Struthio camelus: one gene and its partners. The protein of the gene in region 1 interacts with the protein of each later gene in a biochemical or structural test. Links are inferred from orthologs where the notes say so. Each region holds a gene or a part of one and is shown in the gene's direction. Other genes may lie near its edges.

The links.
Region 2: the proteins of RARA (region 1) and TRIM24 form a complex in vitro, tested with the Homo sapiens proteins (3 studies listed by BioGRID). The link is inferred for Struthio camelus from reciprocal best matches to the Homo sapiens genes RARA and TRIM24.
Region 3: the proteins of RARA (region 1) and NRIP1 form a complex in vitro, tested with the Homo sapiens proteins (4 studies listed by BioGRID). The link is inferred for Struthio camelus from reciprocal best matches to the Homo sapiens genes RARA and NRIP1.
Region 4: the proteins of RARA (region 1) and NCOA6 form a complex in vitro, tested with the Homo sapiens proteins (3 studies listed by BioGRID). The link is inferred for Struthio camelus from reciprocal best matches to the Homo sapiens genes RARA and NCOA6.

The regions. Positions count from the first base shown.
Region 1 is NC_090966.1:6,907,201-6,914,885, forward strand, and holds the start of RARA (retinoic acid receptor alpha), read left to right. Parts: upstream 1-4,669; 5' UTR 4,670-4,724; coding exon 4,725-4,902; intron 4,903-7,685. UniProt on the Homo sapiens protein: Receptor for retinoic acid. Retinoic acid receptors bind as heterodimers to their target response elements in response to their ligands, all-trans or 9-cis retinoic acid, and regulate gene expression in various biological processes.
Region 2 is NC_090942.1:64,646,467-64,653,624, reverse strand, and holds the start of TRIM24 (transcription intermediary factor 1-alpha), read left to right. Parts: upstream 1-4,154; 5' UTR 4,155-4,229; coding exon 4,230-4,623; intron 4,624-7,158. UniProt on the Homo sapiens protein: Transcriptional coactivator that interacts with numerous nuclear receptors and coactivators and modulates the transcription of target genes.
Region 3 is NC_090942.1:112,855,393-112,863,339, reverse strand, and holds the start of NRIP1 (nuclear receptor-interacting protein 1), read left to right. Parts: upstream 1-4,944; 5' UTR 4,945-5,045; intron 5,046-7,947. UniProt on the Homo sapiens protein: Modulates transcriptional activation by steroid receptors such as NR3C1, NR3C2 and ESR1. Also modulates transcriptional repression by nuclear hormone receptors.
Region 4 is NC_090959.1:623,508-631,377, forward strand, and holds the start of NCOA6 (nuclear receptor coactivator 6), read left to right. Parts: upstream 1-4,870; 5' UTR 4,871-4,969; intron 4,970-7,870. UniProt on the Homo sapiens protein: Nuclear receptor coactivator that directly binds nuclear receptors and stimulates the transcriptional activities in a hormone-dependent fashion. Coactivates expression in an agonist- and AF2-dependent manner.

The DNA.
Region 1 (7,685 bases):
GCCATGCCAGCAGGGGGGCGCCGGGCAGGGCTGGTGCATGCTGGGATCTGTAGTTCCCTGGGGCTGCACCCCTGGCTTCGGCTGAGGGACTGCACTGTTGGATTGGGGTCAGGTGGCTGGGATGGGTGCTCCCTCCGTTGTGCTGCGGAGGCTGGGAGCCCTGTGCCCACGGTGGGGTACGGAGGTGGGGGCTCCCAGGCTTGCAGTGCAAGGGGCTGGCAGATAGGGTTGACTTCCAAGAGTTGCTGGAGCCTTTTGGGGTGCAACCCTGCTCCAGCTGCCCCCTTCCAGGGCTCCGGAGAGAGCTGGGAGCCCAGCACCCAGGCCAGAGCCGTGCCGGTCGCGCCAGGCTGGAGCGGTGCCTGTGGCGCTGGCCGGGGGCCACTGCGGCTCAGCTGGGGCCGTGCCTGTCCCGGGGGCCGCGGCGGGGGCCGGGGCACCTGTTGCCAGAGAAGAATGGCGCGTCTGGTGGCGGGTGTAGGAGGTGTAACCGGAGCGGCGCGTTCCTGGCCGTAACCGGAGCCGGGCAGGCTGAGCTGCGACAGGTGGAATTTCATTTTGCAGCTCCAGCCCCGGCAGCGGCACATGGGGGGTGCCGGGGGCCCCGTGCCGTGGGGGCCGGCGGCAGCTCCCCGGAGCGCCTGTCTGCGCCCCGGCGGGGATGGGGAAGCAGGGTGGCACGCCGCTTGGTGTGGGGTGGGCAAGGGACCGCCGTGCTCGGGGACGATGTGGAGCAGGACGTCGTCCCCATGGGGCAGCGCAGGGCTCGCAGCCAGCACCGGGGCCCTCCCCGGTCGTGTGCCGGTCCGGCCCCGGGTTTGTCTATGCAAGGGGAAGCGGAGGCTGCCCAAGCGGGTCTGGCTGGGGGGCGCTGCCGGGGATGGGGGTCCCCGCTGGCCCATGGGGTGCTGGGGCTTTGGGGTGCTGGAGACTCCTGCGTGGGCCGGAGCTGCCCCCCAGCGCGCTGGCCGGGGTGGCTTTGCGCCCTGGCGGGGCCGGGGCAGCCCTGGCTGCGGCACGCGCTGCCCGTGCTGGAGCGTGTGCAGCCGGCTCCGGCCCAGCAACATCCGCTCGGCTGGGGCATGATTCACGCCTGCCCGGGGACGTGAGAAACGTGACGCTGACTCAGAGGCCGGGATGCTCTGGGAATACAGGGAGGGGGTCTCGCCGCCGGCCCTTCCCGGGGGGCACCTCGCTGCGCCCCTCCTGGCGGAGCCGCGGCGGCCCCGGGGCTGCCCGGCTGGGGAGGCACCGGGGTGGCCGGGGCCGTCGGCCTCGCGTGTGAGGCCGCCCCGGCCGCTTTGCTGACAGCAGTGAGGAAACCGCAGGCTGTGACCGCATAGCGGATCCGCGGGCGCTTCCTGCCATGCCCGTGGGGGAGGCGGCGAGGGTGCCCAGAGCCCCCCCCCCCCCGCCCCCCTTGCTGGCGCAGCCGCCGCACCGGTGCCCCGTCCCCCAGCACCGCGGCGCGGGCCCCGGCTGCGGCTCGGGGTGCCCCCGTGACCGTCCTGGCGAGGCCGGGGGCCGCGGGGTGCCCGGCGCGGGGAGCGGGGCCGGGGCAGCCCCGGCTGGGGTCCAAGGTGGCGTGGGGCCAGAGCTGAACCGAAACCCGGCGGCCCCGGGAATCGAGAGCGGCGAGGGGAAGCTGCGGCCGGGAGCGCTGCGGTCGCAGGCATGACAGGAAGGGCTCGGTCACTGGGTTTGCCCGCTGTCCCGATAGGCACCAAGAGCGCAGCCTGGATTTGCCATTACCCTGGCCCCGGTGGCCCCCGCGGTGCTAGCCGGGCAGGGCGGTGCCCGCGGCGCCGGGTGGCACCCCGGCCCTGCTCCCTGGCGTGTCACATCCGGGGCACTGGTGCTGGCATCGCCGCGCGGCCCCGGCAGGAAGCACGCCTGGGTTGGGTGGCATGAGACGGGCGGCGCGCCTGGGGGTTTTGGGGTGCTGGCTGAGGCTGGGCCAGCTCTGCACCCTCCCTGCCAGCCCCTCCTGGCCTGGACGGTCCCCCCTGCATTTCCGTGGTCCCCATGGGGCAGGATGGGGATGCCGCGTGTCCCTTCCCAGGGCTGGCAGGTGGTGCTGGGGATGGCTGCTGGAGACGCGAATCGCGGTGCGTTGCCCCGCTGCAAGCCCTCCTGCTCGGCAGTCAGCGCTGGCCGTGCCGGGCGCGGGGGAGCTGGATGCGACCCTGCCCCGCGAGCGCGGGCAGTGGGGTGGGCTTTGTGCCCTGGTCTTGGGCCTTTTTGGCTCGAGGGGCTGGGGGACCCCAGCAATGTGTCCTGCCCCGCTGCGCGGGGGCTGCCGGCAGACCCTGGGCATGGGAATCGTCTGTCCGTGCGTCCGTCCGCTCCCTGGGGCCGCCCCCAGCCTGGTCGGGAGGTTCCTCGTGGCTGGGATTTGGCCCGAGCTCCATGGCCTTGTTTTCTGCGGGGCTGGAATGAGGCTCTGGATTCCAGGAAGTACCGATTCCCGGCCAGCTCCTGCCGGGGAACTGGAGGAAAAGGCGCCTGCCCGGCCGGGCTGGGGAGGGCGAGGGGGCTCTTCACCGCGCGGGGCTCCCCGCCGCCGGCTGTGCGGCCCCATCCCCACCTTCCCGCTGCCCCCCCAGGGCTTGCCTGGAGCGGGGTCCCTCCGGGACTGCTGCCTGGAGCCCTGAGCGTGGGGAGCGGAGCGCGGTGGTCCAGGGGGATCAGCCGGGCTCTTCCCTCGCCTCTGGTGGTGGGCAGCAGCAGCGAGCCGGAGGGCCTGTGCCCCCTCGCTGGCACGGCGTGCCGGTGAGAGGAGACGACGCAGGACCTCGTGGCCAGCCCCGTGCCGCGGCCCCGCGGCCGGCCGGGCACCGGGAGGGTCTGAGCACGCCGCAAAGGAGCTGCGGCTGCTTTTGGGGTGCAGCGTGGCCGGGCTGGGGCCGAGCTGGGGGGCCAGCCCCTGCCCGAAGCTAAGCAGGCTCTGCCTCGGCCAGCGCACGGATGGGGACCCTCTTTGGGGCCGCGGAGCAGGGCTGCGTCGGGTCTCGGGAGCCCTCCTGGCCGCCCGCGGCGGCGCGCAGAGGCCGGGACGGTCCTGCAGCCGCCTGCCCCCGTCCCCTCTGGGTGAGGGGGCTCGCGGCGGTCGGGCCGCCCCTGGCAGGCGGCGCTGGCGCTGTTCTCTCCCAGGCCCGCGGTGCGCTGGGGGGGCGTGAGCAGGGTTGAGTAATTGGGCCCCGCCGGAGCCTGGCGCCGTGCCTGGCAAGCACTTGGCACCGGCGAACATAAACAGTTCTTCCCGCGCCTCGCTCCCCTCCGCTCCCCCCGGCCGGCCCGGCTCCGGGGGGGCCCGCGGGCAGGCCCCGCGCCGGGCGCTGCCGGGGTGCAGGGTGGCGGGGGGGGGGGGTCTCGTGGCTGCTGCGCCGCCCCCGGGGAACCCACGGGTGCTGCCCAGGGGCACGGCCCCGCGCGAAGGCCGTCTCCTCCCGGCGGCGCCAGGCTGGGCTCGCCGGGGGGGGGCTGCACCCAGGGGCCGGCGCAGGCCCGGCGCGGCGGCACCCCAGGGCAGGGGGTGTCCCGTGCCCCGCGGCAGGGTGACCCACGCGGGGCTGCGGACGGGACCCCGGCATCGCCTGCCCTGGGCACCCACGCCGGCGGGCAGCCGGAGCGCGGGCGCCGGGCACCGCCGGGGCCGGGAGGAGCGCGGGGCGCCCTGCCGGCGGGTGCACCCTGCCCGGGGTGGCCGGGAGCACCCCGGCCCGGCCCCGGGGGGCAGGCGAGGAGCGGGCAGGGCCGTGCCCGTCCCGGCCCCTCCCCAGCGCCTCGCCGGGCGGCCCAGCCTTGTTCCTCTGGATCCTTTTCCGCCTCCGCGGGGCCGGGAGCCAGCGCTCTCGGCAAATAAACATCCCCCGCCGGGCCTCGCGCCAGCGCTTAAATAAACAGCCAGCCCGGGATTGTGAAAGCCCCGTGCCCCCCTTCCCACCGGCGGCCCCCCGCCCTCGCCGGCGGCCCGGCTTGGCGCGGGGTCCGTGCCCGGCGCGGGAGCCGCCGCCGGCAGCGCGGCGCGGGGCGAGCGCCGGCCCCTGCGCTGGGCCGGGTGGCTCGAGGCTGGGCAGAGCCGGCGGGGCGGTGGGGAGAGGGGCTGGGTGAGCCCCGGCCCCCGGGGCCGCGGCCAGGCACGAGGCTGAGCCCCCTCGCGCTCGGTGCACGTGTGGCCGGGCAGCGCGTGAGCCGCTGCCCCCGCGTCCTCGGGGAGCTGGGCCGGAGCGAAGCCGCTGTCCTCGGTGGACGCCGGAGCGCGGCGGCTCCCTCGCGGCGCCCCGGGGCCGGGGGCGCGCGGGGACCCTGCCCCGGGGGTGCCCCTCCGCCGCCCCGGCCCGCTAAGCCGGGCATTAGAGACCTGCCGCCCCGGCTCTCGGCGTCGTTAACCCGGCGGGCAGCGCGGGGCCGGCCCCGCACGGCTGCCTCCTCCCGGCGCCTGGGGAAACTGAGGCACGGCCGCGGCGGGCGGGAGCGGGGTCGGGGTGTGGGGGGGGGGAGCCGGGCGCCCCAGCCCCGCCGCCGCCGCTAACGCCTCTCTCTGCTCCCTCCGCAGCCGTCGCCGGAGCCGCTGCCGCCTCCTCGGCCCCCGGACGCGCCGCGGACCGCCGGCGGGCAGCGGTGAGGCCGTGGTGAGCGCGCCGGGCCGGCCGGCGGCCCCATGCCCTGCCGGGCCGCGGCGCCCCGCACGTGAGGCCGCCGCCGCGCCGGAGCCGCCCGCCATGGCCAGCAACAGCAGCTCCTGCCCCACGCCCGCAGGGGGGCACCTCAACGGCTACCCCGTGCCCCACTACGCCTTCTTCTTCCCCCACATGATCGGGGGGCTCTCGCCGCCCAGCACCCTGGCCGGCATCCCGCACCAGCTGCCCGTCAGCGGATACAGCACGCCCTCGCCCGCCAGTGAGTACCGCCGCGCTCCGGGACGCCCGCGGGGACCCGGCCGGCCACCGCTTCCCCCCCGCCCTGCCCCGCGCCGGGGGCCGCCGGGCCGGGGGGCGTCCCCCCCCCCGCCGCTTCGCCCGCCCTGAGCTTTATAAATAGCTGCAATAACAGGAAACAAAAGGGCCGAAAGGATAAGCAAACCCCTCGCGGCACGAAGGGCCCCGGGTCCGCCGCGGTCCTGCCCCGGCGCGGGGGCGAGCGCTGGGGAGCCGCCGGGACCCTTCCCCCCCCCCCCCATCCGTGGGGAAACTGAGGCACGGTGGTGGCCACCGGGGGGGTTGATCGCCGCAGCCTGGCCCCGTTCGTTAAGGGCGGTGTTTGTACCCCGGCTGCTAACGGCGCGGGAAGCGGCCCCGGCTCTTTGTTCGCCCCCCCCCCCCCGGTGCGGCGGCGGCCCCGGCCCCGGCCGCCTGCGGGGGAAGCGATAACCGCAATCATCGCGTCTGCTCCTGATTCAATTTGCCCCTGACAGGCTCGTCCATCACGGGGGCCGGGGACCGGCCGCGGCGCGGGAGCGGCTGGAGCCGGGGAGGGGGCCGCGCCTGGATCCCCCCTCGCAGCCCTCGGCCCGCCGCCTGCCTCAGTTTCCCCGGCGCTGGCTCCGGAGGGGGCGGCCGGCCGGCAGCGCCGCCGGCGGGGAGGGAAGCGGGCTTGGCGGCGGCACTGCCCCGCGCGCCTGTGCCCCCCCACCCCAGGGTGCCGTGGGGTGCCGGGGCGGGGGGCAGCCCCCTTCCCGGGCGCCCCGGGGCGCGCGCCGCCGGGGAGGCCCCCGTGGGTCGGGGTGCGGCGGGGCCCGGCCCCTGCCCGGGGGGGCCGGTGCAGGCCTGGGCAGGGCCGGCCTGGGGCGCTGTCCCCCGCCGGAGCCGCCCCGACGGCACTGGGACCTAGTGGGACCAGTTCAGCCACTGGGTGGCGGTGGGTGGGGCCCCTCCCCCGCGCTTGCTCGGGGGCCATTCCCGTTGCACGGCATTGTGGGAACGGGGGGGGTGCGCTCACCCCCCCCCCCCCGCTCCCCGGCACTGGGGACGGTGTGGGGGGCATCGCCGGGGTGTCGGGCAGGCCTGGAGGTGCCCCAGCGCCCGGACGCCTCGGCTCCCTGCTGGCACGGTGCCTCGTGCCTCAGTTTCCCTTTGGCCTTACTGCGGGCAGGGCGGGGGGTGTCACCTGTGGGGTGCAGCGGGATTTCGGGGAAGGCCGTGTCTGGGGGATGCCGCGTCTGGGGAAATGCAGAGTCCCGGGATGCCGCGTGTCCGGATGGGCCGGGGTCCCGCGGGATGCTGTTCCGGGAGTCCGCAGGGTCCCGGGGGAGCTGCAGGATCTGGGGGGCCGCGCAGAGCCCTCGCGCTCGGCCCCGGCACGCCGGGCAGGGGCCGGCGTCCCCCTCGGTGCGGCGCTGGCCCGGGAGCGACGTCCCCGCGGAAGGGAAGTGCTGCGGGGTCAGCGTCCGAGCTGGGAGGGAGCCCAGGCGTCCGGGGAAGGGCCGCCGACCCCGGGGCCGGGGCTGGGAGAGCGCGGAGGAGCCCCGCGCGGGCGGCCCCCTCCTCGCCGCGCCGCGCACCTCCCGTCCCAGCGCGGCTGCCGGCCCGCCCTCGCCAGATGTGCTGCAGCTGCGCGGCGGCGGCGCCCCGGCCGGGCCGGGCCGGGCCGGCGGCGCATCCGGAGCCGCCGGGAACGTTCCAAGGCGTTTGGGCTGCCGGCGCCGTATCCGGCCCCCTGGGAAGCCGGGGCGGCCGTCTCGCTCCCCGCGGGCCCCGCGCGCCCCCCTCCGCCTGCCCCGCGCTCCTGCTGGGGGGCACCGGGGGGCCGGAGCCCGGCCCGTCCTGGGCACCGCGGGCCGGGGAGCCCCCGCCGGCCCGAGCGCTGCGGTTCCCTGGCGCGGGGTGGGGACGGGCGCCCGGCTGCAGCCCCGCGCCGGGCACGAAGGGGCCCAGGCGTGCTGCACCGGCTGCGGCGGTGGGGGCGGGTGCCCCCTCCGGGCTGGCGGTCCCGCGTGCCTGCGGGCTGCGTTGGCGCTCGCATGCGTGGCGGGGCGCGTCGCAGCCGGTGCGGGGCGCGCGAGCCTGCCCAGCGCCGCTTGTGAGCGCGCGAACCCCGCGTTGTGTGCAGAGCTGGCTGCGCGGGTGCCCGCGTCCATGCGCGCGCAGCCGGCGCTGCCGGTGTCTCCACGCGCCTGTGCGCGTGCCCTGCCTCCGGGGCAGCGCCGGCTGTGCGTTCAGGCGTGTGCACGTGTGCGAGCGTGCTCGGCGCATTCGGTGCGGCACTGGCTGGGTGTGCATGTGTGTGCACGTGTGTGAGCGTGCTCAGTGTGTTCAGTACAGCACTGGCTGCGTGTGCGCGCGTGCACGTGCGTGTGCTCGGTGCCTCGGGTGCCGCGCCGGCTGCGTGTGCGCGCGTGCACGTGCGTGTGCTCGGTGCATTTGGTGACGCGCCGGCTGCGTGTGCGCACGTGCACGTGCGTGTGCTCGGTGCATTTGGTGCCGCGCCGGCTGCATGTGCGCACGTGCATGTGGGTGTGCTCGGTGCCTCGGGTGCAACGCCGGCTGCGTGTGCGCGCGTGCACGTGCGTGTGCTCGGTGCCTCGGGTGCAACGCCGGCTGCGTGTGCGCGCGTGCACGTGCGTGTGCTCGGTGCCTCGGGTGCCGCGCCGGCTGCGTGTGCGTGCGTGCACGTGTGTGTGCTTGGTGCCTCGGGTGCCGCGCCGGCTGCGTGTGCGCGTGTGCACGTGTGTGTGCTCGGTGCAT
Region 2 (7,158 bases), on another chromosome or scaffold:
GTGCCGTTGCAGTATTATTAGTCTGATTGGCAAGCCAACACCCTAATTTATTTAAGGCTGCTAAAGCATTTGCAGCAGCCACCCCAGGAGTAAAAATGGATGCCGTAATAATCTCTCCTGGGTTCCAGAAAGTAAGATAATCTCTACAATCTTTTTGAAAAAGATGTGTAGATCGTCTAGTGCGATTTTGTCGTTTTTGTAGAATCATTGTCGAATTGGGCAAATACATTCCCAATGTTCTTACGGTACACGGACCACCCGTGACGCGAGATGGGATTCCCTGCCAGGCACGATTGCTGCAGATCAAAAACACTCCTTGTGGTAATTTCAAAGGGTCGTTCCTGGATTTAGAAATGTTTGTACTAGTTACATTACACCATAAAGTTGTATTGCGATAAACAGCTAAAGTAGCATTAACAACAGTGATTCCCCTTTGAGAGGAATTTTGTCCTGTATAATTGAAATATATACATTGATCCATCTGCACAGAACCTAATAACTCTATTTCTTGTGGTTCCCCAGGTAACACCGGTAGGTAGGGCGTCCAACCATCCCAAACATCACCCCACCGACTACAGCCCGTTAGGGCGGCAGGGGTACCATTACAAACTTGATATACTTTTCCGTCTGTTGGAAGACCCACCAGACAAGTTTGAAAAGGGTTAGCAGCCGAAGCCACAGGCAGGCAAACAGTGTCCTGTCCTGTGGCATTGGCTATAGTTACCCAAAGATCAGGTCGTTCGGAGACAGAGGGCCACATCCCTTTGCCCACGTCCGTTGTTTCTCCAGACATAACACAAAAGCATATTATTGCAGGAAATAACATATTATTTCCCAGAACTACGCCACGACTTCTTCAGATTCTCCGCTACAAAATTGGCGTGGTACTTCATAGGGCTTAACACACCGAGCAGGGAACCAACGAGGCTGGGTACCTGTAGAAACACAAGCATAACCCCTCCCCCAAGTTATCAGAGAAAAAGGTCCTTTCCATTGGCCGGAGTCCAGATCACAGATCATAACTTGTGCCTGTCCTGAGGGAAGAAGATGTGAAAAAGAGTTAAGATGGGAGGCAACAGGGGTCTGCTCATCACGGACCCGATTCAAAAAGTTAAGGACATACAAGGCCTTTGCCACTCTCTCTTGAGGAGTCCCATACCCCTCGGTTTCCCCTTTTTGTTTAGAGAGCATCTGTTTCAAAGTACTATGGGCACGTTCAATTAAAGCTTGCCTGGTAGGGTTGTGTGGAATACCATTTAAATGTTGGATTCCCTAGGCTTGAAGAAAAGAACGAATTTTCACAGAGACATATGTGGGACCATTATCAGTCTTAATGGTATGAGGCACACCCGTAAAAGCAAAAGCTTGCGTCCAGTGAGCGCAGACACCCCAAGCGCGCTCTCTGCGATGAACACTGGCAAACAGTAAATTAGAATAGGTATCCAGAGAAACATGGACAAAGCAAAAAACACCAAAGTCCGGGATGTGAGTAATATCGGTCTGCCATTTGTTTTAATAGAATTGTTCGAGCTTCGGAATTATCCACTTGTCTTTCCAATGCAGTATGAAGGCGATTGACAAACTGCCTTTAGTTTTCAGTAGCACCCTGCTTGATCGTCTCAAATGACTTAGATCCTTTCCCATTTTCATCAGGGAGGTTTAACAATGCTCTTAATGCCTCTTCTTGACTTTGCGCCAGCGCCCCCCGGAGAATGCATAACTGCGCTGTATGTTCCCAATAGGGGCCTTCCCCCAAAAGTACCGCGGTGCCTACTCCATACAACGGATCTCCTGGCTGCCGATCCAAATTAGTCACAGCCGCTTGATCACAATTATTCCGCCATGCCTGCTGCCATAACATATACTGCGTGGGGGTCAACAAAAGCTGAGTCAGCGTACAACAGTCATTAGGTGTTAAAATCATATTATTAAAACCCGATTGTATCAAGCCCCATGCATAGGGAGAGGCAAGCCCAGAGCCTTTGATACTTTTTCAAAGTTCTTTTATTAAGACAAAAGGAAAACCTTCCCAAGTGGGGGCTTGACCTTCGCGCAGGAGGACAGGCATTGTGACGGCTTGAAGGCACTCAAGGTCTCCTTCCGCCAATGCCTGGGCTCGCGCTTCTTTCCATCGATCTACTGGAGGTACAGGCGTAACAACCGGCGTTGATATAACAGGTTCAGGAGTTTGCGGAGGAAATAGATCTGGTTCTTTCTTAGGGTCTACAGGGCCAGGATCCAATGGCTCCGCAGGTTCACTGCTCCGCATAGGAGGAGCAGAAGGCGTTTTAGCTGCCTTCTGCATACTTTCTTGGTGATTCTGATCTAATGCATTAAATACAAGTCACCAAGTAGTTAAGAAGGAAGGGGCGACGGGATCATCCGAGGCTGCAGCATGCCACAAACACACCCCAATGGTATCCCAAGTCCCCTTACTATATATATTACTCGTATTAGCTTCGTCAACATGCGCTGCAATCCAAATTGAAAGCTCCTTTTTCTTCCTTTACAGTTACTCGCCGTTTCTCTAAAAAACGCTGCATAACCTTGTACACAGATTTATATTCTGATGATACAGAATTCCCCATGTTCCCAGCTGCTTACCTTCCGTGAAGGTAATGGTAACAAATGCTGCGCAGCCTCTATCGAGTTCAGCTGGGCTCCCCACCGGATTTCACTCTTCAAGTCCCTGTTTGGGCACCATTTGTGGGGATGAAGACACGAACCTTGCGTATGGTGAAGCAAGATTATTTATTTCACATTTCGTCCTCTCTTGCATACCGGACCCTTATTATGTAAGAATACAGCTGTGTTTACTGATTACACTTGCTTTGCTACATTAATAAAAGCCGCGTTCTGCACTAAGATTATCTTCCCTCTCTCACGTCCTTGCCCTAGTTTCAATATCTGCATTCTGATGGCTCACGGGCACCTGTCCGTCTTGGCACTGACACGAGTCTTCATATTATGCGCGCTTTCCCAGGGCTTCTGGCACTGAGGGAATACTTTGTTGCTCCTCCTAATCGTCTTCTGGTACGCATCGCCCCCCCGACAGCAGAGCTGTCGAAGAGTTTGCATCAGTTTACTGTTGACTTGTGACCAACACTCAAGCAGTTATTTTACGTCTGCATGTTTTCTTAAGTAGCAGAAGGGGGATGAGCATTTATTTCAATAAAATGTTGAGTCTAAATCAGATTTTACAGTTTACTTTTTACTGATTGCCTCTCAACTTCAGAGAGTTATTACACCCGCAAATGGCTGTGTGGACAAAACATGCCAAACTGACCAAGTGCCAACATTTACACAGACAACCCACACATAAAATGAGGGACAAAAACAACCTCTTTAGTGACTTCTGAAGGGAGGGCAAAACCCTCTGCCCCAAATTGAGTCTGGAGGACGTGGGGACATGGCTGCCCATTTGGCCCCGGTGCCAAGCGGCTCGGCCGCCCGCGTGTTGACACGCACACCGCAGCCCGGCGGAGGGTGAGGCGAGGGAGCAGCGCCGGATTGTCCCTCCTGGTGTGACGCCTCACGCGCCGGGCCCCTCACCGAAAGGACAAGGTGGCCATTTGAGGTCGGGGGTGAGCAGATAGGGGGCTTGGGCTCGCTGAGCTCACTCAGCTTGCGCTGAGCGGGGCAGGACGCCCCTAAGGCGGGATGTGTGGCTCGGGGCGGGGTGGGGGGATGGGGTGAGGGGTGGCAGAAGGCCCCAGGGGAGGTGGGTAGCCCTAGGGCCGCCCAGGGGTGCGAAGGCGGGAAGGGCCGCGCCAACCGTCCGCGCAGGGGGCGGGGCCTGGCGAGCGGGTCCGTTGGGGTTCGGCGGGGGCGGGAGAAGCGCTCGGCGCACGTAGCCCGGCAGGGGGCGGGGCCGAGGGGGCGGGGCGCTGTGGCGAGGCGCGGCGGCGGCGGCGGCGGGGCCGAGACCGCGGGCCGGGCGGGCGGGAGGGGGCGGGGCCCCGTGGTGTGGTGGGAGGGGGGAAAGGGAGGCGGGGCGGTGGCGCGGGAGGGGAGGGGGCGGGGCCTGGGCGGCCGTTGGCCATGTTGCGCGGCGGGTGCAGCCCTCGCCCGGGTTAGGAACACAAACAGCGCGGCCCGCGCTCGGGGGCGGGGGTCGGCGCGGCGCCGCGGGCGGGCGGACGGGTGGGCAGGCAGGGAGGCAGCGGCAGCGAGGGCAGCGGGGCCGCCCCGCCTCCCCTCAGCGCTCCGGCGGCGGCTGGTGCAGGACAATGGAAGAGGCGGCGGTGGCGGCGGCGGCAGCAGCAGCGGTGGTGGTGGCGGCGGCGGCGGCGGCGGCGCCCTGCCCGGCGGATCGGGCGGCGGCGCTGAGCGGGGAGAACGAGGCCGAGAGCCGGCAGGGCCCGGCGGAGCGCGGGGGCGAGGCGGCCCCGCTCAACCTGTTGGACACTTGCGGCGTGTGCGGCCAGCCCATCCAGAGCCGGCGGCCCAAGCTGCTGCCCTGCCTCCACTCCGTCTGCCTCCGCTGCCTGCCGCAGCCCGACCGCTACCTCATGCTGCCCCCCGCCATCCCCTCCCCGGCCGCCGGCGTCCCCAAGGAGCCGCCGCCCGCGCCCCCTTCCTCGCCGGGCTCGTCGCCCGCCTCGCCGCTGCGCTGCACGCCCGGTAAGTGGCCCATCTGCCCTCGCCCCCGGCCTCGCGGGGGTTAGCGCCTCGCGACAGGGCGAGGCGCTGTCGCGACGGGAGTTTGGGCAGCGCGGGGCGGGGGGGAAGGGCGGGGTGGCGGGCGCGGGCAGGTGCCGGGGCGCGGAGGGCTCCGCGGGGGGCTTTGTGCCCAGCCTTCCCCCCCCCCCCGCGGCGCCAGTGGGGGCGCTTGGGATTTTGATTTTTTTTTTTCTTTTTAATTTTTGTGTTTAAATCTCCCTCTTCGCTCGGGAAAGCGATATATCTGCACTTCCTCAGGACCTCGCTGTGTGGGTGGAGGGGAGCGGCGGCCGGGCTCCCCGCCCCCCGCAGCGCGGGACCGTTGTGGGGCGCCGCTACCCCCCCCCCCCACCGCCCCCGCGGGGGCTTCTGCGTGCTGGAGGGATTTCCTTCGCCCCGTTTCCGAGAGAAAAAAAAAATCTTAATACGGGATGCTGTGGGGAGCGCAGAGCAGAAGAACGTACCGGTTGATAGCCAGGATCCTAACCGACTTTTTGAGTAATGTTTCTGGGCTGGTAATTTGGGAGGATGGTGCCGCAGAGGTCAGCGAGAGGGACGCCCTGCAGGTGTCATCCCTTTTTACAGGGGGCTTAGCCGGAGGGAGGGTTCAAACACTTAGACGGTAGGAAGCAGGAGCGAGCGTTAACACTTGACACTGTCCACGTGATTGGTAGACTGGGTAGAGCTGGTAATGCATTTATTTACAAGTTGCTTAACTGTCACTTTGAAAGGAGAACGCCTTGAGGAAGTTTTGGAGAGCACGTGTTCTGAAGCAGTGGCTTGAGTGGATGTATTTAAAAAGCATTTTGCTGTAGAGGATATCTATGGTAAACTACTGCAAGCTGAAGTTACTTTTGTGATGTTCCCTTCTAGCTGTCTTTGATTTAGCGAGTTGCTTTATTTTGTTGAGTGCAAGTTCGTCTTGGAAGAACGTGCAAGCAAGTATCCTCTAGCAGAAATGGGTGAAGATCCTGGAGTTTTTTGCATGGAAAAGAGAAGTGATTCAAATCGAGCTTCTCCTTAGGAATTCATGGATAGTGGTAGTTTGCTTACAGGGAAGTATAGTGGGAGGGTCAAGGGAGAAATCAAACATGAAGAGAACAGTAACTCCCGATAAGTTATCCTTGGGTGAGTGTTGGCCGTTGTCCTTTGGGCATATTTCAGAACTGCAGATTGGAAGCTTTTCCCATGCTGCCAGTAGTTCTGCCCAGAAGGACCACAACTTGAACGTGCAAAAGTTATTTAGCTAGCTTACAACCATTGCGATTCATAGAGGTATACCTTGAGAGAAAGGAGTCTTTGAGACAATTGGGAGAGACAACTTGCTTCAGAGTATCTGAGATCGGGCCTGGTTAGTTTTTTATTAGCCTGATATGCTGAGCCTCTTTATCTACATGGATGTCTGTGTTGTGTAGGAATTTTTTTGTTTGTTTTAAATAATACTTCTCAATAGTCTTTAATATTAGTATGCAGTTCGTGTAGTAGTCAAACTGCCTAGCCAGAGATTCCAGAATGGGAAAATCTGTAAGACCCAAACCCAGTGCATTTAAACTTGGCTGGCATGTGAGGTGTATTGCTCATGGTAAGTCTAGGAGTAAAAGAATTGTGAAATCCTGCTTAAGAAGAACTGAAAAGCACAAAGTGTGGTCGATGATAGGATATTTGAAGATGAAATGCTTGGAAATGAGAAAGAGGGCAGAGAAGCAGCTAGCTGCTGTTGTGATGTAGGCTCAGAGATCATATAATCACTTTCTCATGAGTTTTGAGTCATAAAGGGCATAGCTCAATTCACAGATGTCCTGTTTATATATAGCAGAACTAGAGGTCTGTAGCTGGGGTAAGAAACAAGATCCATTGTAAGAAGAAAAGGTTGGTGTTGTTCAAAGATCTAGTGAAGAGAGGACAAATGGTAGAGATGGCGGGGGAGACGGAGAAAAATAGAACTACCAATTTACTATTGCCACCTCGCTCATTATTCTGTCTATATGAGTTGGAACAGTGGGAATGAATAATACAGTGTATGTACTTCCGTGTTCTACAAATTTACAGATGTAACATGTTCAGTGACGTTATTTTTACCCTATCATCATCTTTTGCTAGTTACTTGCATGCTTCCATGCTATTTTTCATCCTCCAGTAGAAAGGAGGAACTTCTATTGAACTCACACTCTCCTTGACAGATTACTTAGGTCTTCTGCTGTCACTGTTTTGGTCTTGTTGAAATGGCAATGGATTGTATGCTAGCTAACTAAAGTTTGACTTGATAATGTGCACTAGCTGTTTTGTTTTCCAACTGATATCAAACAGTTGTAAACTCAGTTTAGGATTTAAGAAATGGTGTCACTGTTTACAACTGATTATACTGAGGAGAAATGTGTTACGATGGGAGGAGTTCCTAAATTCTCAGAAAGCAGGAGGGACAAAACAGTGCAAAACTGTCATCTCTTCTGGTAATGTGCTGTGTGAGGTATTTGAAGAACAAACTGGAGGAATAAA
Region 3 (7,947 bases), on another chromosome or scaffold:
GCCTTATGACTGCAAGAAAAAAAAAAGTCATTCTCAAGAATTTTACTGACATTGAGGAAGACAGGAGTAAATGAAACAAAAAGGAATAAGAGAACTCCTTTTTCCTGCTTTGTACTCCAAGAAAATTCTAGATTAATATAAAGAAGATAACAGATTTTTCAAGTATCCAGAATGAAGAATTCCATTGATTCTGCTTTCTTTCTAGGAGGGTCTGTAATTTCCATGGCTCTTTCAATAGAAGAGGCAAGAGATCAGGTCGGTTTTTGGTTGAAGATCGGTGTTTTCTTCTCAGCTGATTATCAGTGATAGCCTTTAAAACAGATTTACTCGCCTGAATTAGTTGAGTGTCTATGTAGTCAGTGACAAATGCAAACATATTTACTTGCAATGTTTTCTTTTTCTAGAGGAAATGTTGTGAAGCCACTGCACGTGAACAGCATCTCTGGGGAAGAAACACATGATTGTGAATTTTAAAGGAGAGAATCAACGCCTGTCTGCCTCCAGTCACTCTCTTGTTGCCTTGGCTATTCTGTTGTTGGGTTTGTTCTGGGCTTTTTTTCCTTCCATTTTACTGTTTCACAGATGGTTTGGGTTGACTCAAAGGCGCTTCCTTTTCTTTAAGCAGCCATCAAACACTATTTCAGGGGAGCTTTTAGATGTGTATTGCTTTCCTTTTTAAATGTGCCTGACACTTTATTTTTTGCCCCTGTCATTGTTTTAAAGCTTTATAGCTATTCTCTTTGTTAGAGACAGAAGATGCAGGACAGAAGATGTTGGACTATATTTTAACCTTGTCAATTTAGGCCACAATCTAACAATGTGTAATGTTCATTTTAATAACTATTTCTGTGGAAGACATTTATTTTTGTTCTAGAGCATGAATCTCAGAAGAAATTTGCCTGTACAGTTCTATTAGGATGTCCTTGTTTAAAAATCTGGAAAGTAAAGCATAATGCAAATGAAATCAGTTACGTTATGAATAATGTAAGCTATCTATTATTCCTTTTATTATAAAAAGTTGCACGTGCTTCCTAAACCTATATAGATACGTTCCTATGATGTGATCCCCATTGCAATGAGGGCCTTGGAAGACAATGGAAGGAGGAGAGACCGAAGTGAATTAAGTTTAGCTGGAGTGCCAGGCCAAAAATGCATTTATATTGCCTCCAGAGTGCCACCATGTCTTCACACTGATCACCAAATACTTTGTGAAATATAACTCGTCCTTCTGCAGGTGGAGAGGCACAGAGGTCATCTTGTGCCCCTGCTCCCCTGCCCAGAGCAGACCCATGCCCAAATTACACCCTATGTTCATCCATGGGGTGGCTGGCCAGGCGGCCAGCTTGCATCCCAGGGGTGTTTGGCAACTGCCCCCTTCCCAAAAGCAACCAAACCTGTGTCTTTGAGGACAGAATTTGGCTCACAGAGTTAGCACAAGGCTATGTCTCATTATTGTTTCCTAATGAAACAGTCTCTTTGGCTGAGATCCTGCAGAGATTTATGTACTGCTTAATTCTATACACTGGGAATAATCTCCTTGAATTCAGGGGGACCACAGAAGTGCGCAAATGCAAGTCTCTACAGCACTTGTTTGTGAAAATAAATAAGCCGTGAAACAATGCAAGTGTAGTTCCAAGCAGTGAGTTAGTGTAAATATAAAATAGATGCAAATGTATTGCCAGTTACGCAACCTTCCAGTGCTAGAGGGAGGGGGAGAAGAAGCATTTTCTCCAGCTTAAAATGGAGATCAAAAATCCTTCTGCAATCTACAGATTAGAGATTGTTTCAAAACTGGTATTAGGATCTGGTTTGAAATGAATTTCACTGCGAAATAAAATTGATTATGAAAGTTTCTAGGTCTTAACTCCTTAGTGGCAAGAAGTAGAAATAATATTTTTTGCTGGAGTTTTCTATGAGGATTATTGATATAGGCTTATAATATTTTCAAAAACAGGAAAAAAAATTAATAATTGCCTGTAACTGCAAACATCAACAATATTAGTTCTTTCTATTCCTTTCCTGCTCAGCCTGGTCCAATTCTACTACCTCCGTCTGTCTTGTTTCACAGGATGAGATCTTCAGGATCTCCAGAGAAAGTGATTCTTTGAGTAACCAAGGAGCCCGAAGAAAGAGTAATGTGACATTAGAGAAAGCACACCATGGCATGGTTAGCACTTGTGTCTGCAGTATATTCTTTCCAGCCTAGGATACTTTCTCATGATGTCCTCTCCTGCTCAGGATGCACCTGTTCTGAGCACCTTATCCACTCACTTGGACAAATGAATATAACTTTAAAAAAAGTTTTAATTTTTTTTCAACTGGTAAATTATTTTTTTCCCCCCCCTATTAACTAGTTTCTCTACATTGACTGGAGTTTTGCAAGAGCAGAGACCTCAGGCTTCAGGACGTTAGCTACCCGGATCACTCAGAGCCTCCTAGGAGAAGGATCACAATAGTGGAAACAAACTGACCACAGGTCATTGTATGGCTGGGAGGCTACACAAGGGTTTTAGAAAGTATGCTAGGATTATGCTTCAGATTGGACTTAAATGCTGTCGTTTTCCAGCTATTGAGGGCAGGAGGAGAAGAGAGTTTATAAGCATGCAAGCTGGGATAAGAGAAAGGAAAAGTGAATGCCCCGTGCTCCTTTGTGATTTGGTCCCTGCTTTTTCAGTATCACTCATTCATATGCACCTTCCTTTTGAAGTCCCCTGGTTAGAGGGACTGGTAGAGGTGAAGACAGGGGAAGGGTGCTTTCCCGTGTGCTAAGAGAGGGTGCTAATCTCCGTTTTGAGAACCGAATGGCTTCTGCTGTGCTGCTCTAATCCTCCAGCTAGAATGAGCCAAACTCTCTGTTACTCAGCTGAGCAAAGCTCCCACTGAGTTATGCTTGATTAACAGCTACGGCATTTGGTTCTGCATAATTGTGATGAGAAATGCCTTAGCGTTTCTGCTCAGCCTAGCCAACATCGATCTCCACAGCTGCTGGTTCCCAGCATTTCCCAGCTACTACGTGGGGAGGGAGGGAAATCTGCACTTTGAGCAGCTGCAAAATGCTGTATTAGGCAAAGCCCTGGTAAGACTGGTAAGTGGGAATGAGAGTTAGGCAAGTGGCAAAGCACAGAGCTCTCTCTCTTCCAGCACGCTTACAGTTTCATTGTCTAGAAAGTGTTGTTGGCTACTTTTTCTTTATTTAAAAAAAAAAAAAAAGTAATTGGGTTGCTGGCTTTGCCTTTTGGGATTTGTGCAGTGCAAAGGCCATTAGTATTTAGCATTACGTAAGACCTTTTATGGGTCTGTCTTGATGGTGAGAGAAGGTCTGTTTCTCTTAATGGAGCTGACAAACCTGATTTCAAACAATTTTTAGTGTCTTGGGCAGTGAGAGTGAATTCCACAATGCAGTATGGTCTCCAAGTGGTAAAGTTATGTTCCCTGAGTTACAGGGGGATCATGAGTGTACATCATGGAGCATGGGCTGCCGAAAACTGTATTCTTTAGACAGACTGTGAGGTTTCCCCTGCTGACTATTGCCCATGACTTTCTAATTGATCCATGCAGTTTGAAAATCTGCCTGTCAGACATGGATAGCGATACTGTATTGGTGCTAGGCTATGACTATATGCAAGAGTCACTTTATGCAGAAAATAGTCTTTGGTCAATATTGCCTCTAAAAAAACCCAGAAATACTGTGCTGTACTTGTCTAACGATCACTGAATTCAAAAACCTCTATTTATCCCTTCAAAAAACACAGTCAAACTGTGTACACTGGAAAAAAGTAGATATTATATAGGGCTGTTATTAAAACACCTTAAGTGTCCTACTCGGCCTTTGAATTAAAAAAATAAGCAAAAGGCCTGCATGCTGCATAGTCTTTAACTAAAGAGGTGCAGTTAATGAATTAGGTTTGAACCTGCACTGTGATTTTTGTGAGAGGCGGATTATGAAAAGGGCGTTAAACTTAGGGAATCTATAATATTTGGCAGGGAGTTCATTAGTTTTCATTTCCATACCCTTGGCTCATTCCTTAAAAATTACATGTACGTAGAATGGACAGGAGAAATTTCCTCTTGTGAGTAATACTCTTTCAGTATCTTAACTTTTCTATATCAATATGAAATGATTATAGAAAAAAAATCAACATGAACATCATTTTGTTTCTACTGCAGAATTATTAGGTTCGGGTAATGACTTGTCTATTATGCTTGATCACCAATTCTTTGCTGTATAGGTCCCCAATGGTAATCCCCCTTAGCTTGAACAACAATGTGGCTTGAATGAGGACTTCAGGGTATAGCAATGAGGAGAAGTGGCATATGCGGGCTTGTGATTCGGAGGTGCAGATGCGCAGTCGCTGTGCTGGCAGTGAAGTGCCCTTGTCCTGTGTGCTCTCTGTGAGTCTGGTTTTGAGAAGCATAAGGCTCTTCACACTGGTTGAAATTGCTCTGGGGTCAGTCTCTTTATCCTTCTTGGGAGAGGGAACCTGGATCCTGCTGTCCTCACTATTGACCATAATATAGTTCCATTCCTTTGGTTTAAAGACCATAATTCTCGTTGTTTACTTGTTCAGCTTCTTTCCGGTCTGCAAGGGTGTAATGACAGGTAAAGGTATATGGCTGGTATGTCTAAAAGGCTGGATGCTAATTTTTGGGACAGTAATAGGTATAAGTAGATGAATTTCTACTGAGGGGTGCAAATTTATTTGATTTTTCTGTGTCGAATGGGGATATCACTAAGGAAGTAATTGTCTTAATGTTTTGCTTTCTTTTTATGAACGAATAACTGACATTTTGTCCTAATTCTTTCTCTGAATTCTGGGAGTTATATGCCATCTGAAGAGTGATTCCTCTACCCCCTACCCTTGGAAACACAAGTAACTCCTTTTCATTTTTTGAAATTAGTCTTCCCAAATATCCAGGTGTTGTGTCTGAAGAGCCAAGAAGAGCAGATGTGGGGAAAAAGAAACTGGAGAGCAACAGAAAATATCATAAAATAGATATCTGCCACTCAAAACCATACGTTTCTCATATCTACTTTTGTCTGCTTGGTATGTAGCCTACACCAGTTTAGATTATAGTTCCTGATACTCTGAGTGGGTGGAAACAAGTTGGGGTACGCTTTAGGATGGTCTGATCTCATCTATTTTTCCTTTATATACCTCTCATATACATACTTCTCTGAATTTGGTCTCATCTGTGAGGCCTTGAAATGTTAATGTAATGTATGTAATGTAAGAATTCAGTACAGAAGCTGCTGCCACATCTCAGAAGTTGTGTGGCTCTGCTTTGCCTGCTCTATAATTTCCAGTGCCGCTTTTGCTTGCATAGGATAAAAAGAAAGTGAGGGACAAGTAAATTACGGCAGTACAGTCTATGGTACTTTGTAGCTTTTATGAGGCTCCTATGCCTGACTGCAGAGAGTTTCTTTACTCTGCTGCATTTCATTTTACAGTGTCCACTCTGTATTCCAATTTCTAGCAAAATTTTAAGGAGTATTATTTTGTTGCTGATGTTGTTCATGAATTACAGTTTTAATGGATAGGGAGCTTATATGGAGAAAAGGGCTCCTAATGTGTGTGTATATGTTACTGTCATCCTTTCTTTTTGTTTTAGGTGCTTTTCTATAGGAAATCTACTCTTGCATTTCTGACAGTGCAGCTGTACTAACTGAAATGACTGATTACATGCTTTTTGAAGGACATGTATGAATCTGCAAATATATTTACATTTCCTAATTAATGTTTTAAAGATTTTTAACTTGAGATTGAAATGACTCTAAACTTCAACGAGGTTAATGCTAATATGTGTTGGATCTAATCTTTGATACCCAGGACACCCTGGGAAACTAATGATCGCTGCAGGGGTTCAATATCTGTACCTATGTAATTCCTCTTTTTAGCTTTTTAGAATGGGGGGAGGGGGAAATGTGTGTGTGTGTGTGTGTGTGTGTGTGTGTGTGTATGTGTGAGGGGGAATTAAAGATATATTTTTATAGATAGTTAGCAAGAGCCATGGGCATTATGGGAGCCCTAAATATGGGAGAATATAACTGAACTTGGCTGAAGAATAGGCCATCTTTAGTCTCCTGCACAGCACCAAATGTTACTCCAAATGAATCCTCACTGAGGTTCATGGAAGACTAAAGCTTATTGTCTGAGCAGCATTTCAGTTCTAACTTTTGCACAAGGCCCCTCCCTTTAAGCAAGAGACCTCCTGTTTCTAAGCTGTAATTGTCCCTTCCAAATATTTGGCCAAATCAAATACTGGTGCAGATCAACATACCTTCATTGCCTTTAGCAGGCTAATGCTCCTTCACCTCTCAAGCCTTATAGTTGACCGTTTGCCAAAGGCAACCTTGTCATAAATTAATATGAAAAATATACTTGATTTTTAGTAACAGTTTGTTTAATTTTTTTTTCTTTTAGCAGAATCTAAATCTTTTAGCAGCATCTTCAACTGTGTCACACAATTTAAAACTAAACAAGTCTTTTTTTAATACTAAATTATATTAAATCATCTTGAGCTCTGGGTTGAGAGACATATTACGCTGGTACACTAGAGCAGAGAGTAAGACACAGAGGAATGTAGGCTGTTTCCAAAAATTAAAAGAAATACAAATGACTTTACCTGATTTACCCTGCTGGAACATGTGGCTTGGCTTGGCTTTGCTTACAGAAAAAAAACAAAGAAACAAACCCCCCAAACAGAGTACATGAAGATATAACAACAACTCAGTAGGAGGCATAATACAGATTTGCTTCATGTAGAAATCCCTTTGATTTGTTTTTCTTTCATGTGTAGCACTATTATTTATAACTCTAGCATTTATTTGCATGTCTCTAACTGTAGTGTTTACTCCCAGGAATTGTTTTTTGATGGCTGATTGCCCCAAATCGAGGATGGCTAGATAACCTTGCCTTCAGCTAAAATAGCTTGGTGGTTTTTTCAGCAGCGGAAATACAAGTATTGATAGAATACGAAAGTCAAATTTTTTTTTCTTTACCCAGTAACCTGTATACAGAATAAAATGAAATCTGACCTTCTAGAAAAACTTATAACGTAATATTAAGGACCTTTTCCAGAAATCTGATTCTTAGGTTGAAATATAAACTGAAAATGCCTTTGATTCTACTTGTTTTCCCCTACTTGCAATGTATTCAGAAACCTAGTAAAATAACATTTTCTTGGAGGATAATGACCTAATGAAAAAGCATGGCTTCCATTTTAACTCATGGAAATTTAACTCAGAATAAACTTTAATAGACTTTTCTAAACATGTTGATAACTAAGACTAGACACCGGCCAGAGATGTGACTACTATTATCATCTTGACTTACATTCCTTAATCACTCCCTGAGATATCCTATATGTACACTAAGCATGTATTCTAAGCCAAATCTCCCTATTAAAAACATTCATAAAGCCTCTGGATGCCATGAAATCCAAATAGAGGTTGCTCGTTGGACCCTTCCATTATTTCCTCAGTTATAGTTGCTTTCATTGCAGATGTGTTGAATTATTGCATCAATACAGTTACTACTATATTCTACAGTTACTGCTATACATAAAAAAGGTAATGCTGATGCCTTGAAAAATGCATCTATCTGTTCACCTTGTTCTTGTGCTATCCAAGTACCTCATGTGTGTAGAAAACAAGTAGTGCCATAGGCAATAAAAGTTAAAGTCTGACTTCCTATAGATTTTGCTTAATACATAGGTTTCCTTGTATGTAATAAATTAACATGGCAACTTCTCCTCAGTAGAGCGATTATCTTTCCTCTACCCTACCATCTATAGATGTACACAACTTTATCTGACAAAATATTTTTTATAACTGTTACCATTTTGTTAAAATTTGATTGAAATTACCCAGGAAATTCAGAAGTTTTGCAAGATAGTCAAATGAATTGGGGCACGTATGCAGGCAGTTGTATCAACTGACTTCCTTTG
Region 4 (7,870 bases), on another chromosome or scaffold:
CAGCTCACATCACTGCAGAGGTGAGTCCACTTGTGCATACAAGGCATCAGGAAGCCAAGGCAGTGGGGTTTGAAGTATCCTGTATAGCTCCTCCCACAGCTTCCTCAGACTGCCAAGTTCAATGGGAGAAAGTCCCCTTTCCTCCCACCACAGTCCTCTACATCACATTATTCCCTTCTTGCCACCAGCAGGCATCTGCCTTTTGGTCTCCTGCTCCATGCATTAGCAGCCAATGAGATAAAGGTCTTTCACTAGCTGCAATATACTGGAGGGTAAAACCCTCTTTTGGTTCCTCTAGCCACCAGCGTCGGACAGAGATGCCTCACCACAGTACTCTCTCATCAGGATTTTCTCACTCAGACCTGTCCTTTCACCTTGATGTCCCTTCAGGTCTGAGTCAGCTGAATATATGCTCTATCCTTCCCTTAGTTTCTTACACTCTTGGCAAAGCTGATTTACACCTCTTTGATAGAATGGGGATTAATTATAATCATGCCGAGTTTGTGTCTATTTGGCCATTTACAACAGCAAGCAGAAGCATAAGAAAAAGCAATCAGGAGAAGCATATTACAAAGTCCAAAATGGATATATGAGACACCAAGCTGCAAATGAAGGAAGAGCTTTTTCACAACCTCCATGTGTGATTAGACACAGGAAGGTTATCTACATAGAGCTTCTTAAGTCCAGATCAGAAAGCTATAGCATCTAGATCACTAGAGCAGAACTTAGTGAAATATATTAATATTGTGCCTCAGAAACTTTCAGTTTTCAGACTGAAAACTCAGTCTGAAAAATAATTGTTCTACTTTTTATTGTTTGCTACAGTGTACAAGATGTGCCCTGCATCAATGTAGATAATATATACAGAAACAAGCAAATAAAAAAAAGTTGAAGGAAAACTTTGCGTTAAGTTTGTAATTACAACAAAGATAGCAGTGTTTTATGGGAAGCATGAGATTTTTTAAGTGATCTAACTCTGTGCAAGAGTTGGTGAAATGTATTAGCCTTTTCAGGAAGATTAGGCTGTTTACAAGGAGGAAGTTAAATGCATCCGGGTTGAGAAGCACCCCTTGCAGGTATGAAGAGAAGCGTGGAAGAAAGGTAATTCTCAGATACTAAAGAAGTCTTTCAGCTTGCAGTTTTATCAGCTTCCTCATGTTTTCAACCTGTCTCAAAAGATATGAGCAGAGTAAGTCAGATTCCCAGGACAACACTATCCCCTTTTGAAGTCAGTGCTCAAGTTACTAATGTTAATCATACATATTTTTGCAGGATCAAGGTCTTTACTTTTTCCCCAAAATATTCTCTTTAGACCTTTGATTATTTTATCAGCCTTAAATAATAGTTGCCATGTCTTTCTTTGCTTTACCACCACTGGCTCATACCTTTCTGATTAAAGCAGTGACTGGCAGGAAGAAAACCAGACATTTCTGCAGTATCACTGTCTTTCGATATTATTTTAGCATTTTTCATATTAATAAAGGTTTGTAGGATAAAGAGCAAATTCCTGGGACGGTTCCATGTCTTGCAAGCTGTTCGGTGTGAGTAAATCTCTGTTGTAAAGCCCTTCTGTGTTATTGTGTCTTTTTAGGAAGTAAACATCTGCCCACATGCAAGAGGACTGCAAGACTGTGGTCCTGTTCATTAATCAGATAAATGGACTTTTAAAAAAATTCACTGTAGTGGCCTTTGCTGTATTTGAATCTTTCAGTTCTCTCTCTGCTTTCTTCCCCATCTCCCCAGTAGTAGACTAAGATATAAGTTCTTGATATTTATAAAGTCTGAAATCTTCATATGAAAGGTACTATCTGTATTCAAACTTTGTTTCCTGCTAATTTTTAGGAAAGGTATTGATTTTTCTTTATAGCTTCATCCAGGAAATACCTTTTACTAATTTCACAGAATCACAGAATCACAGAATGGTTTAGGTTGGAAGGGACCTCTGGAGATCACCTAGTCCAACCTCCCTGCTCAAGCAGGGACCTCTAGAGCATATTGCCCAGGATCGTGTCCAGGCGAGTTTTGAATATCTCCAGGGAAGGAGACTCCACTACCTCTCTGGGCAACCTGTTCCAATGCTCAGTCACCCTCACAGTCAAGAAGTTTTTCCTCAGGTTCAGATGGAACTTCCTCTGTTTCAGTTTGTGCCCGCTGCCTCTTGTCCTGTTGCTGGGCACCACGGAGAAGAGGCTGGCCTCATCCTCTTGACACTCCCCCTTCAGATACTTGTACACGGTTGATGAGATCGCCTCTCAGTCTTGCCTTGTCCAGGCTGAACAGGCCCAGCTCTCGCAGTCTTTCTTCAGAGGAGAGATGCTCCGGTCCCCTCATCATCTTTGTAGCCCTCCGCTGGACTCTCTCCAGTAGCGCCATGTCTCTCTTAATTTACAGAATTGGATACAAAGCCCACAGCCTCCAAAGTTATCACAAGTGAAGTATCAGTCATCTGAATGGTGATGCAAGGGATCTCTCCAAATGTGGAAAGGCTTTATTGAAAGCCCGCATCGTCAAACACATCTGCATACATGTTCCCACTGCCCTTTCACCTTGTGAAGGACGCATCGCTTTCACTTGCAAAAAGTTGCACTGGGCTAAGAGCTACAGTATTTAGGGCTATCTAACAGGAGTCATGCTGTCCACCAGTTTCTCTCGCTAGTGAGAAAAATGGCTTTTAATTTAGGTTTCATGGCTTAACCTGATACGCCAGCGATCTACGTTCATGTGCTGCAATGCAGAACTGTTGGATGTTTCTTTCAGTAGTTAGGGAGGAGGCTTCCCATGCTCCAAGCTCAGAAAGTTTCTCCCCTTGGGAACACCTAGAGAAGAAGCTCTGCATGTGTGGCCAGAGGAAGAGATAGACTCTCTTCAAAGAGAAAGGGAAATAACTTTTTGCCCACTTCTCTGCCGTGATCTCTGCTGAGACTCTCCTTGCCACCTTACCTGTAGGGGGGATTTTTGTCTTCATACATGTTGGGGAGGGATATCTCTGACCCCTTCCCAGTCTGCAGAAAGGAATGTTCTTCCCCACAGCTGTCCAAACAAGGAGGAATCCCTAGAGCTTCAGCAGAGTAGGGTCTAGGCTGGGTCCATGTTAGGAGGGGATTGTCTTGACCCCTAAGTGGAAGAGGCTCGGTCTTCCCCAAGAACATCTGCATGCACAGGCAGTTGCATCTAAACATGAGGAGAAACTTCTTGACTGGGAGGGTGACAGAGCACTGGCCCAGGTTGCCCAGAGAGGTAGTGGAGTCTCCTTCCCTGGAGATATTCAAAACCCGCCTGGACACGATCCTGGGCAATATGCTCTAGATGGCCCTGCTTGAGCAGGGAGGTTGGACTAGATGATCTCCAGAGGTCTCTTCCAACCTCAACCGTTCTGTGATTCTGTGATTCTGTGACTCACCAGTCCGTAAAGGCATGAGGAGGCAAGGGTCTCCCAGAAAGGGACTCTGTGTGAGAGCATCCCGCTCAGTGTGCTAATGTGTGAGAGGGTGTCCCTAGGATGTTTATGCTTGGTAGGTCATTCCCCAGTGTCTCAGTGGAGTGTGGGAATTGGGCTTTTCTCCGGGGATCTTTTAAAGATGAGGCGTCCTCAGAGAAGGAGAGGATGGTCTTTTTCCAAGATGCTCTCTCCAAGGGGTAGGAATCAAGGTCTCCCTAAGGGAGATCAGGGACGGACTCCTGAGGACATTCAGTTGTCTCTCTTTTCAACAAGGCGTACAGCCCTTCACATTCAGTAGAGGGAAAAGTGTCCACAATTTCTCCATGGGGAATCAGGCTTTCCCTTTGGAAGGGCGTGTATACAATACAGGACAGTGAGAGAGGAAACTCCCTGTGTATAGAGAAAGGAAGGGCACAAACCCACCCCACCCTGAGCAGCAGTGTGGAGATGAACACGTGCATGGAGCGGGAGTGTCCCCATCTCTAAATGTGGAACACTCTCCCCTTTGCATGTCTGTGCTGGGGACATGGGGCTGGCAGGCAAGTGAGGGAGGGTACACACAATAAGGTGCTAGGTAAAGGCTGCCCTCCCCCTCTGTGGGGGCCCCACTATGGGGGCTCCACAGCCTCTCAGAGGGGTGAGAGGATGAGTGTCCCCTTTGCAGGGGGCCCAGCATGTCCCCCAGGCTCTCAAGGGGTGAGGGGAAGAGCGACCCCTGCATGGGGGGGGGGGGAGCAACACATCTCCCAGGTTCTTGGGGGTGAGGGGACCAGCATCCCCCTCACAGGGGCCTGGCATGTCCCCAAGGCTCTGGAGGGGGAGAGGATGAGCGTCCCTTTTGTGAGGGCCCAGCATGTCCCCCCAGGCCTCAGAGAGGAGAGGATGAGTGTCCCCTTTGCAGGGGGTCGAGCATATCCCGCCAGCTCCCAAGCGGTGAGGGGAAGAGTGTCCCCCTAGCAGGGGGCCCAGCATATCCCACAGGCTCTCGAGTGTGAGAGGACGAGCGTCCCCCTTCGCAAGAGCCCACCACGTCCCCCAGGCTCTTGCGGGTGAGGAAACCAGCATCCCCCTCGCGGGGGCCCGGCACGTCCCCCAGGCTCTCGGGGCGGAGGGGTGCGCGCCCCCTCGGCCCGCAGGCCCTCGGCAGGCGGACGACGCGCGCCTGCCTCGCGGAGCGCCCCGCCCACTCCCGCCGCGGCGCGGGCGCGCGCACGGCCCGCTCCAACGCACGCGCGCGCTGGCGGCGCGGGGCGGGGCCGGTCACGTGTTCCCGCGCGGAGGCGGTGGCGGAGGCGGAGCCGCGGCCGGCCTGCGGGGTGGGTGTCCCGGGCGCTCGGCAGGGCCGACGGCGACCTCCCGCCCCCTCCCCTCGCTCGGCCGCCCCCCCCCCCCCCCCGGGCCGTTCCTCGCCCGCTGCCGTCGCGGGGCCGCGCGCCCCCGCTCGCCGAGGCGGCCCCCGCCCTCCCGCGCGCGCTCGCGGAGCGGGCACGGCGGCGGCCCCGCGGCCGCCACCAGCGGCACCAGCGGCAGGTGAGGCCGGCGCGGCGCGGCGCGGCGCGGCGCGGCGCGGCGCGGGGGGGGGCTCCCTCAGCCCCCGGCGGGGCCGGGCGGGAGCGCGAGGCCGCGGCCGCGGGGCTGACAGAGGCCGGCGGAGCGGAAGCGGCGCCCCGGCAATGTCAGAGGGCCGGTAGTGGCGGCGGCCCGGGGAGCAGGCCGAGCCCGTCGCGGGGAGGGCGCGGGCCGGCGGTGCGGCGCGGCGCCTGGGCCGGGCCCGGCGGCGGCGGCGGCGGCGGCCTCCCCCGCGCGGCGGGGTCTGCGCCCGGGGCGCCCCGTGGCGTGCGGGCGAGCCCAGCCTGCGGCCGTGCCGGGCGCCTGGGGGGACGCGCAGGCCCCGGCCTCGGGAGGCTCCGGGGTGCCCCAGCGGGGCTGCCCAGCCGGCTCGTCTGGAGAGCAGCGTCCGCGCGGGGAGCGCGGCCCGGGGCCCTGCCCGCCTCCGTGGCGTGCGGGTGCGCGGAGCTGCCTTGCTTCCCCGGTGCTGGCGGGGAGCCCTCGCCGGAGCAGGCTGTGCGCCGGGCCCGCGGTCACGTCCGGACCGCCGTGTCAGCCCGCTGCCGGCGTCCGTGGCCTCCAGCCTCTTAGGTGGACCGGCCACACGTCAGGAGGTGGCTCCTGGAGGTGGGATTCCTTAAAAGTAGCCGTGTTTCTCCCTGCACTTAGATCTCAAAGGCTTCTTCCTGCAGCTGTTGTGCTGCTGTAACCTGTGTAAACCTAAAAGTAATAGTCTGCCTTTGGCTGTGGCCTGTGACTGACTGATCCCTCCAAGGTAAAGGAGGTAACTGGCTGATTCTGCTGTGCTGTGCCAGAGTCTTTTATTTCTTGGAGGAGGAAAGTCTTTCTTGCTAATACTAGAAAGCAGTCAGAGTGCTATCAGGAACTTTATTTTTTTAACTGAGGACATGGTCTTTTATTTTAACTTCCGTGCCCTGAGCTCATGCAGGCACTGACATCATTTGGGGATGTCAGTGAAGATGCACTGACGTTTCTTTGATTGCAAACTTTTGTTTGCATTCTTCCTTATCTCTTTAAAATAGTAATAAAAAAGGTATTTTTATCTTATTCCCGTGGTTTGACTTCTGCATTTTTCTGAATTTCACTTGCTTTTTGGAACATCTCAGAAAACGGAGGGTTCCGATTTCTTCTGATGTCTTCAGGGAACAGGGGAAACGGGAAGTGGCAGCTCTCCTGTCACTCTGCTTGTTCTGGTTTTGAAAGCTGGCTGCAAATTCTAGTTTATGAGCTTTGTCTTTAACACTTCATAACCCCTCACCTTCCAGATGCATGCACGTTTGGGCTTACTACCTTTACTGAACTGTGAATAAGCTAATCTGAATTGTAGTTATAGGAAAGACAGTACCTCTTATATTGATACTTATTTCACAATTACTTTTCATTGCAGCCTTTCTGGCTAGTTCTTTACAGATATAAAACAAAAGTATCTTTCAGTATTTCACATATGAGAAAGCAACCACAAAGAACGTAAATTTTGTATCTTTCAAAAAAGGCCATCAAGACTTATTCTTCTGTAGAACTTGCAGGGAGGAGTTGTTTACAAAAGGCTTCCAACTGATGCTGTTATTTTACACTCTTCTAGCAGAGAAAAGGCTGCATCCTTTTTTTTTTTTTTTTTTTTTTTTAGTGTGGGAAACCTGGGAAAACCAGACATTCATAAACTAAGTATTCGTGTCTTAATTTTTCAGTTGCTTGAATACTTGAAAATATTGGGGTATAGAACTAAATTCTGATAAGCAATCTTAATATTGCTCTTTGGTCTTCTTAAGTACAATACCGTCAGATATTGCATACCCTTGCAGATGTTGAATACTTTAAACTGATAACTGAATTGTTAAACAGCTTTACAGTATATTTTATTATTTTCTAATACTATGTTGATTGCTTTTAGATGATAATTGTAGTCACAGTTAAGTTACATAGACACACTGAATTTATAAGATTTACAATGGCAAAAGATTTGCTACTGAAGATATAAAGGAGTTAAAATGGCTGTAACAGTTTGATTGCATTGGGAATAATGAAGTTGTATATATCGTTAGCATACCTCTGAAAGGCAGAAGGCGTGATGTTGGTGTCTGTTTCAAAATCATGTGGTCCCTATTGAGAAATACAAACCCTGTAGTGTATAGTAAATGGTACTGGTAAACAGTACAGGTCTGTTAATACGTAGACCGCTGAACAACATCACTTAACCTTGAAAATGTCTTGCATTGCACAAATTGTGTTCAAGCATAAACTCGTTTTTGTTGGGCTAGAGAGGAAATTGGGGTAAACAATATGGAGAATGGGAAAAGTTAAGGGGAGGAAATGGAAAGAAAAAATAATTCTAGACAAACACAAACTTGAGGCAGAGAGGATGCATCACCAAATCCAGGTGTGATATTTTCCATCTGTTGGCTAGATTACCAACTTTGCTTTACGAAGAGAATGGTCACCTTGTCTTTTATTTGATGTTTAACTCTACCAGTGTTACCTACTCTTCTGTCACCACCAGAATAGATCACTAGTGTTCTTTTGCAAGAAACTACATATTTTAAATAATTGAACATTTGAGCCACATGATATGTTCCTTAGTTTGTACAAATCGATAGCTGAATGCTAAGGTTTGGTTCTAGATGGTGTGTCAAGCTCATGAAACTCTTAATTGTCTAGTCTCCTGACTAATTAATAGGAGGGAAAAAGTGTAACTGGTCTGAGAACTCTGGTAAGAAAGAAGGTGCTTAGTGGACTCTACAACATTTAAGAACTGTCACCTTTTTGGAACTGAGAGGACTTTTGTCGTCTTCACAAGCTTGAATGAGTAGTCTCAAAGCATAGCCCTATATAGGGGTTTGGGTTGAATTTGTACAAAAATTGAAA